2 linked regions of the Rattus norvegicus genome follow. The main gene of each other region encodes a partner of the protein of the gene in region 2 in a complex. Links are inferred from orthologs where the notes say so. Each region holds a gene or a part of one and is shown on either strand. Other genes may lie near its edges.

Region 1 (3,818 bases), on a different chromosome or scaffold from region 2:
TCAAGAAAACTACTCAGTGTGTAATCCCAGATTAAATCGTCTGACAGGAAAACAACACCATCACACAGGGAATCACTGGGACAGGGAAATATATGGAATACATTAAAACACAAACGTTGATGCTAAAATTCCTAGAATTTGTGAGTTAACTGTAACGTAAGGCAACTTTGTGAGGCACACATACTCGACACCAGCCATAATGGAGCTTTGCACATGCACAGCCATGAACAGTATGCTTGAGTGACAGACGTGTACGAGCGGGAACTCCCAAAATCTTACCTGGTGGTGTCACTATCTAGCTGGAATAACCATACTACTCTATGACATTCACAACAAAATTGCCTAATGGCACACTTCTCAGTGTTGTCCCAAGACTGACTTAAGGCTCTGTTGTAGCCCGAGGCTGTTAAGAAAATGGTGTGGGTGCAGAGGAAGAAGCAAAGACAAATGTGACAAAATGCCAGTGTGGTGAATCTTGGCTAGAGCATGCTGAAGTCCACTGCTCTATGCCAGCAGCTTTCCCAAAGGATAATACAGTTCAAAGTCATAAGACGATCACCAAAAACAATTATCCTAACAAAATCACACACATGCTTTTTACTATAGTGTTTAATATATCTTTCAGAAGTGAAATGGTCCTTATCAGGCAAGTTCTTAGTGTCTCAGTCTCTCTCTCTCTCTCTCTCTCTCTCTCTCTCTCTCTCTCTCTCTCTCCAGTCCCCTACCTCTCCCTTCCCCCTCTCATGAAAGCGTGAAGTTGCAAACCACTTTATATAAAAAACTGAATAAAATAAAAATTTAATGATCTTCCAAGTTGGAAAGTTCTTTTTTAAATAAGTTTTCGTAGAAAGTCAGGTCTTTCAGAGTTAAGGACGGCTTCACAGTCTTGAGTGCTTCTGTGAAGTGCTCCTGTTCCACTGTGGTCGCTTCCAGTCCATTTTCTTGCAGAGCAAACAGAGCAGCCTGAAGGACACAAGCAGTGGGCAACAGTCAATCTGCTTCACATTAACAGTGAACAGTAACTGTCAGCACTGCAATCCAGTGTCACATCAAAGGAGTTCAAAGCCACCCAAAAACACTAAAGGTTAAGCTGACTACAAATCCACCATAGACCACAGCTTCCTGTACACTAAAAATCCAGCCTTAAAAAGGCAGACTGTAGAATAACATACACGCCCTGAATGCACACACAGTCTAAGATGAGAGGAGCCCTGCAGCACTGCTCATAAAAGAAAAGAGGGCACATTTATGACTTGGCAATTCTTCCAGCCATGTATGTGTATGGAAGATCCACTCCACACTCCCAGCACAGACAAACTGTTTATGGCAGAATGTAGAAACTCAGAGCTCAAAGGCCGCAAAGCTCGTCTCCAGTGTAGGAGTGAGCAAGTGGCCACCTTTGGTGGGCAGCAGGGGCAGTGGGTAGGAAGGGTCAGAGGAAGATTCTAGAATACCAACAATCCCTTCCTGACACATGTGCTGGCTATAAAAGTGTGGTCACTTGACAGTCATTCAGTACCATTTCCTTCAGCTCTGTGCATTCCTCTCGATTTTATATTTGGTAAAGCTTACGGAAAGGGAAACCATTCAAAGGCTCTGGCCTCGAATAAAACAGTACATACTCACTTCTTTGCAGAGGTTTCTCAGATCAGCTCCAGAGAAATAACAGGTTTCTGCTGCCAGGTTCTCTAGAGAAACATTGAGCCCTATTGGCATGTTGTTTGTACAGACTTTTAAAATAGAAAGCCTGCCCTGGAAGAAAATAAACAAACAAACAAATATTTACAATGTTATCACACTTATGTTCAGCACTGATACAGTAAGCATTTTAAGTTCAAATTTTCTATTACATTACAAAGAATGTATGTATATGTTTGTGTTGTGTGGGTATGTGGAGGGGTGCAGTATATGTGTGTATGGTGTGTGTGTGTGATGACTATGTGTGATGTATGTATGGTGTGTGCATTTGTGTGTGTGTGTGGTGTGGGGGGGTGTATATTTGTGTGTACAATGTGTGTGTGTGGTGTGTGTTCTATTCAAACAATTAAAATCAGTCTTGCTCCTGAAAGAGAGAGGAGTCATCAATGGTCTACACAGCAAAGGTAGAAACAGTATCATGGAAAACAAATATTGTTAATTAACTTCTGAACTTGCCAGTCATAAGCATTTCTCCTTATAGGACAAGATGACTCTCTTTTGGGAACCAGAGTGCTATCAGAATAGGTTTAGAGACAAACACACGATTTATGAGACACATTTAGAAGCATCAGACATTTACATAAAAAAGAGATCTCTTTAAAAGTTGATAAAAGCCCAAGGAAGGAAAAATTAATTCCCGGAGCCCTTCACCATCTGACAGTCATTCTGGGTGTTTAAGAGCAAAGCATTTCCTGACTGGACATGCTGCAGTCCCCACAGACCCAGTCCACTAATGCCCTTTCAGGGACTCAAATGCCTAAGGATTTTTCCATGCCAGATACAATGACACCCAGTGCCCTCAGTACTGCTGGGAGCACTAGAGTCACTTCCAGGCATGTTCCAGGCAGGGCCAGGGAACCAGAACGGACAAATACGTGACTTTATGAAGAGCCACCAAGCAAAGAACTGGATACCAGCACTGCACAGTGAGAGCAGGACACTCCGCCCACCACTACCCAGTCTGGAGCTTATCCGGACATGCTACTAGGCAGATGTGACGCACTGCTTACCTCTCGATCAGGAGGGGGGACATAGACCATCTTATCTAATCTGCCAGGTCGTAACAAGGCATCGTCTAACACATCAGGCCTGTTTGTCGCCACAACAATCATGACACTCCGACTAAGAATTTCTTGACACTCTGAGGGAAAGCATATAACACAGAGTAACATCGCAAACTGTGACTTAGTGAAATCCTAGATGATCCTAGTGAATAATCCCATGTGAGAAGGTAATGTTTGAAAGGGACGGCCTTCTTTTGGAACCAGGATGCTTCCCCAGTCCCAGCCACCTTCTTGGTATAAAGCCACCCCATGACAACTCACTAATCAAAGCTACCTTGTGTGTCTGAAGGAATGGCTAGTCCTGACAGGCGTTTCTCTGTGTGAGAACTGGGGAGAGGCCACAGGGAAGAACACCTGGCCAGCGCCCAGATCCACCCAAGCACTCAGTGAGCAGCAACTACAAAGAAGCTGCTCGAGGGCAGCGTGTGTGACCACGGGGGACAGGTACAGTTCTGGAAAGTCTAGCTTTCCCAAAGGTGGAAAGTCACTTTTTATTCTTCTTTCCAGAGGCAGAAATGATGACAATCAAACTGAACTGCAGTTATGCAAACCCTGGATGACAAGCAGCAAATTTGTTTCTATTTGAGGTAAGGTCTCATGTACCCCAGGCTGTCCCAAAACTCCTTACCCAACAAAACTGACCTTACGAGCTGTGTCTGCACTTCCCGAGTACTGGGTGTATCAGTGCACACTAGCACACCTCACTTTTTTTTTTTTAATTCTTTTTTTTTTTTTTAAGATTTATTTATTATAAGTACACTGCAGCTGTCTTCAGACACACCAGAAGAGGGCATCAGATCTCATTACAGTTGGTTGTGAGCCACCATGTGGTTGCTGGGATTTGAACTCAGGACCTCTGGAAGAGCAGTCAGTGCTCTTAACGCTGAGCCATCTCTCCAGCCCCTAGCACACCTCACTTACGTGGTTACCAGTGCACACTAGCACACCTCACTTACGTGGTGCTATGATAGAACCTAAGGTTTGGGTCTGACAGGCAGTCTCTCGGCCACTGAGTTACACACGCTCCCCAGCCCCAAAGGGACATTTAAAAGCTTG
Region 2 (3,818 bases):
TAAAAGGCAGAGGCCCTGTGTCCTTTCCTAAGGACTGGATTTAAGCAATGCTGATGCCCTTCTTAGAATGGCCTCCAGAAGAACTACTTACAGAAGAAGGCCGTGGGCCATGTGTGAAACAGAGGGGGCCGGCTGCTCTCTTCCCTGTAGTGGTAATTTTCTAGTTCACAAATTCCCTTGGTGGTTGAAGACAGCTTTTCCATTTTCATTTGTATTTTAGTCTGAAAAGATATTAATTTGGAATATGAGAATACTGCTTAGAATTTCTAATCTCAGACTTAGTAACTATAAAAGACTTGAAGGCTACGATGTATAGTCCTGGTGGGGCTGAAATTCCAGTCATTCACCCCATTAACTCCACAGAAGACAGCAGATTTCCAGAGGAATGGAGACAGGTGGGAGTTGTGGTTTTCACAGCCTTAGAGAAAGCAGAGCTTGCGGAGTCCCACCTCAGTAAGGTTTCTAAGCAGCAGTAGCAGTTTAGTTCCAAAGGTCTGGCGGAGTCCCCGTGGGCTGGTATCACAGAATGACACAGGCAGAAAGGCACCCAGCATGCACGTTTCTGCCTCTCTATGAAGCCTCTGTGAGCCTCTCTTTTCTTACTCATATGGCATCGAGAGTGAAAGGGAGCCTCATGCACACAGGAGAAGGCAGTAAGAACCTGAAACCTGGGTCTCTGAAGACCTCCCTTCCCCTGCTACTGTGTCCTCTGCCAGCTCCCAGCAGGAGACACCAGCACCTTCTCCACAGTGACCAAAGTATGACAGATGGAGGGGCAGTGACGTGGGTCATGAAACACCCGGCTACACAGTGATCATTAAATACAATAGACAGAGCTAACTAGGGTTTTAGATTTAAGTAGCAAAGGTTTATTAAAACTAAATCTCGGGGTTGGGGGTTTAGCTCAGTGGTAAAGTGCTTGCCTAGCAAGCGCAAGGCCCTGGGTTCGGTCCCCAGCTCCGGAAAAAAAACAAAAACAAAAACAAAAAACAAAACTAAATCTCCTAACTCCTCAGTGTAGTTAACTGTTATGTGTCTGAGGGATAAAAGAGACGGATAGCATCAGTCATAACTCCTGTACTGGATCCTCCCAACTGCCGTCCATCCCCTGGTTTTATCGAAAGTGACACACACTAAATTTAGCAAATGTTAATCTTTAAAAGCCTCTCCTTTCTCAAATCATCTTAGGTTCGATATTTCCCTTCGCTTAACCTCCAGACAGGCTCCATCATTTCCAGTCGCAGCTGGGAAGATGCTCAAGGTTGAGGTGAGGAGGCGGGCGGGGCCAGGGCTGGATCTGTGCTTTTTGAACCCAACTCTGTAAAGAAGTCTACACCCGGGGGCTGGGGATTTAGCTCAGTGGTAGAGCGCTTACCTAGGAAGCGCAAGGCCCTGGGTTCGGTCCCCAGCTCCGAAAAAAAAGAACCAAAAAAAAAAAAAAAAAAAAAAAAAGAAGTCTACACCCTAAAGCAGCTTCCGGACACCTCCTAATTCTAGAAAAGCTTGGAAGGATTCAGAGGGAAGGGAAATCTAGAGACTCTGACCCAGATCTGTAGCTCAGCCACCAACAGGGACAGAGTCCTATCTGTGTGTGCTTTGCTGAGCTAACAATGAAAGAGCAGCCTGGACCACAGAGCAGCTGTAGTGTCTCCCACAATAACACGTTCCACGAAAATGGGGTACATCTTAGGGGAAAGGGTATGACCAAGATACTTAACCCCAAACCACTTTAATGGATGGGGAGAGAAAAAAAACAAAACAAAAAAACAGGGTTCACAGCCTCCAACACCAACTTTTGGGTTTGAACACTGAGTTCAAACCAGTTTCAGACAGATTCAAGTTCATCAGAGCAGAGAGCTTCTAACATGATGGCTAGCATGTAGAGCTTGCTTCCTCTAAGATGTTTATTTTATCATTTATGTGTGGGTGGCTGTGGAGGCGGGACTGGCACTGGAGGCCCTGGAGCTGGAGTTAGAGAGAGTTGTGCTGGGAACCAAACTCCAGTCCTTTGAGAGAGAAGCAAGTGCTCCTAACACCGAGCCATCTCCCTAGCCCCACAGTAACCACTTCCTTAAAAGAAAAGATTTTATGTCTGTGAGTGCACTGTAGCTGTCCTCAGACACCAGAGAGGGCATCGGATCCCATTACAGATGGCTGTGAGCCACCATGTGGTTGCTGGGAATTGAACTCAGGACCTCGGAAAGAGCAGTCAGTGCTCTTAACCTCTGAGCCATCCCTCCAGCCCAGCTAACCACATTTTATCAGGCCTCTCCTAATCAAAGATCTAGGCCCCTTGGGGGAAAATGCTGATTCTTAGGCGGAGGCAGGAAATATGCAAAGTAAGCCTGGGACCTTTCAGTGCTAGTCAATAAGGAAATGTCAAAAACTTCCCCAAACGGAGCTTTACTAGAAAGACGGTATTTCAGACAAGAACTCCCAATGCCTAAGTGCAAACAATCTGAACAAGGAATGCAGTTGATTCGGACCACAGCCTGAAGTAGGAACTGCTAGGCCCACACTGACAACACCATGGCTGCTCTCGTGTTACACAGCAGCACCAAGAAGTCAGTGTGATAGAAATGGTCTGGCCCACAGAATCTGAATATTCACTCTGGACCCTTGAAGCAGTTGACACTGCTGGAGTATGTACCCGACGTGACTTGAGAGCATCAGGGTTTGTAAGTAGGTGGGAGGAGAGATCTCCGACTCTTCTGAATGCCCCCACAGTCAAGCAAACCCCAAACAGCTGCCCTGGGCTGAGAGACAGTGATGTTGATGGCCAGTAGCTTCAGGTCTTACCAAGCCGTCCAAGATGGCCTGTAGCTCCTCACACAATGCTTCAAGTCCTTTATCATAGTCCAGGTTTGTCTTCTCTTCCTCTTCGATGGAAGTTGGACTGCTGCTCTCTAATTCAACCTTCTCTTTACTCCTGGACAAAGCAGAAGGTAGTGGGTACAAATTACACTCTTCAGACTCATCTCATGCCAGGCGACTGCACATCTCTAACCCCAGTGCTTGAGGAGGAGGAGTTCACAACCTGGCTACACAGTAGCCTCATTTTGTTGTAATGGATCCTACAGAAGTCATCATTTATATAATCATGTTAGACATATTGCATGCATGTTAGATACATTGCATACATGTTAGACATATTGCAACATGTTGCAAACGTCACTGCAATAGATGCTCATTTATAACGTGGAGGCCAGAACTGGGCACTGGAGTCCCTGGAGTCCCTGGAGCTGGAGTTAGAGACAGTTAGGAGCTGCTGAGAACCAGATTCCAGTTCTTTGAAAGAATAGCAAGAGCTCCTAACACTTTGGCCATCTTTCTAGCCCTAGAGCTAACAGGTTTCCTAAGGACTCTCCTATACAAGGATTACATTTACACCGTGAGCACATCTAGTTACCCAAGTTTACTGTGCTTGGATGGAGCCAAGGGCCTCCTCTGTGTGCTGCAAATGCTCCACTGCTGAGCTATACATCGGGACTCATTTGTATTAGGGGCAGTGAAGTGTAGCCATGTGGAATCCTTGGTGTAGGGCTTAGTGCTGGTTCTATGAAACGCGTAAGACATGGGTCATTTCCCAAAGGAGTCAAGAGTAGTTTTAAAACTGGAGTCTATGGTGCTGTTAGAAGAAAGTGCAACTATTAAGGTGAGCCTAGTGGAAAGGCTTCTGTCCACGTAGGGAAAGGATTCCCTTCAAAGGACTTTGGGATCCCAGTATCTTCTTTCTGGTCTGGACCATGAGGCAAACAGAGTATGAGCATCCTCTATGATGTGTGCCACAAGTAAGTACAGAACCAGTAGTTAGCCTG

Evidence for each region.
Region 1: Cinp (region 2) and Afg2b share a complex: the UniProt entries of both Homo sapiens proteins name them as parts of the 55LCC heterohexameric ATPase complex. The link is inferred for Rattus norvegicus from reciprocal best matches to the Homo sapiens genes CINP and AFG2B.

What each region holds. Positions count from the first base shown.
Region 1 is NC_086021.1:130,158,123-130,161,940, reverse strand, and holds the end of Afg2b (ATPase family gene 2 protein homolog B), read right to left. Parts: intron 2,840-3,818; coding exon 2,709-2,839; intron 1,753-2,708; coding exon 1,627-1,752; coding exon of another isoform or gene 1,623-1,626; intron 964-1,622; coding exon 799-963; 3' UTR 600-798; downstream 1-599. UniProt on the Homo sapiens protein: ATP-dependent chaperone part of the 55LCC heterohexameric ATPase complex which is chromatin-associated and promotes replisome proteostasis to maintain replication fork progression and genome stability.
Region 2 is NC_086024.1:135,710,402-135,714,219, forward strand, and holds part of Cinp (cyclin-dependent kinase 2-interacting protein), read right to left. Parts: intron 2,930-3,818; coding exon 2,800-2,929; intron 1,456-2,799; exon of another isoform or gene 222-1,455; coding exon 92-221; exon of another isoform or gene 1-91. UniProt on the Homo sapiens protein: Component of the DNA replication complex, which interacts with two kinases, CDK2 and CDC7, thereby providing a functional and physical link between CDK2 and CDC7 during firing of the origins of replication.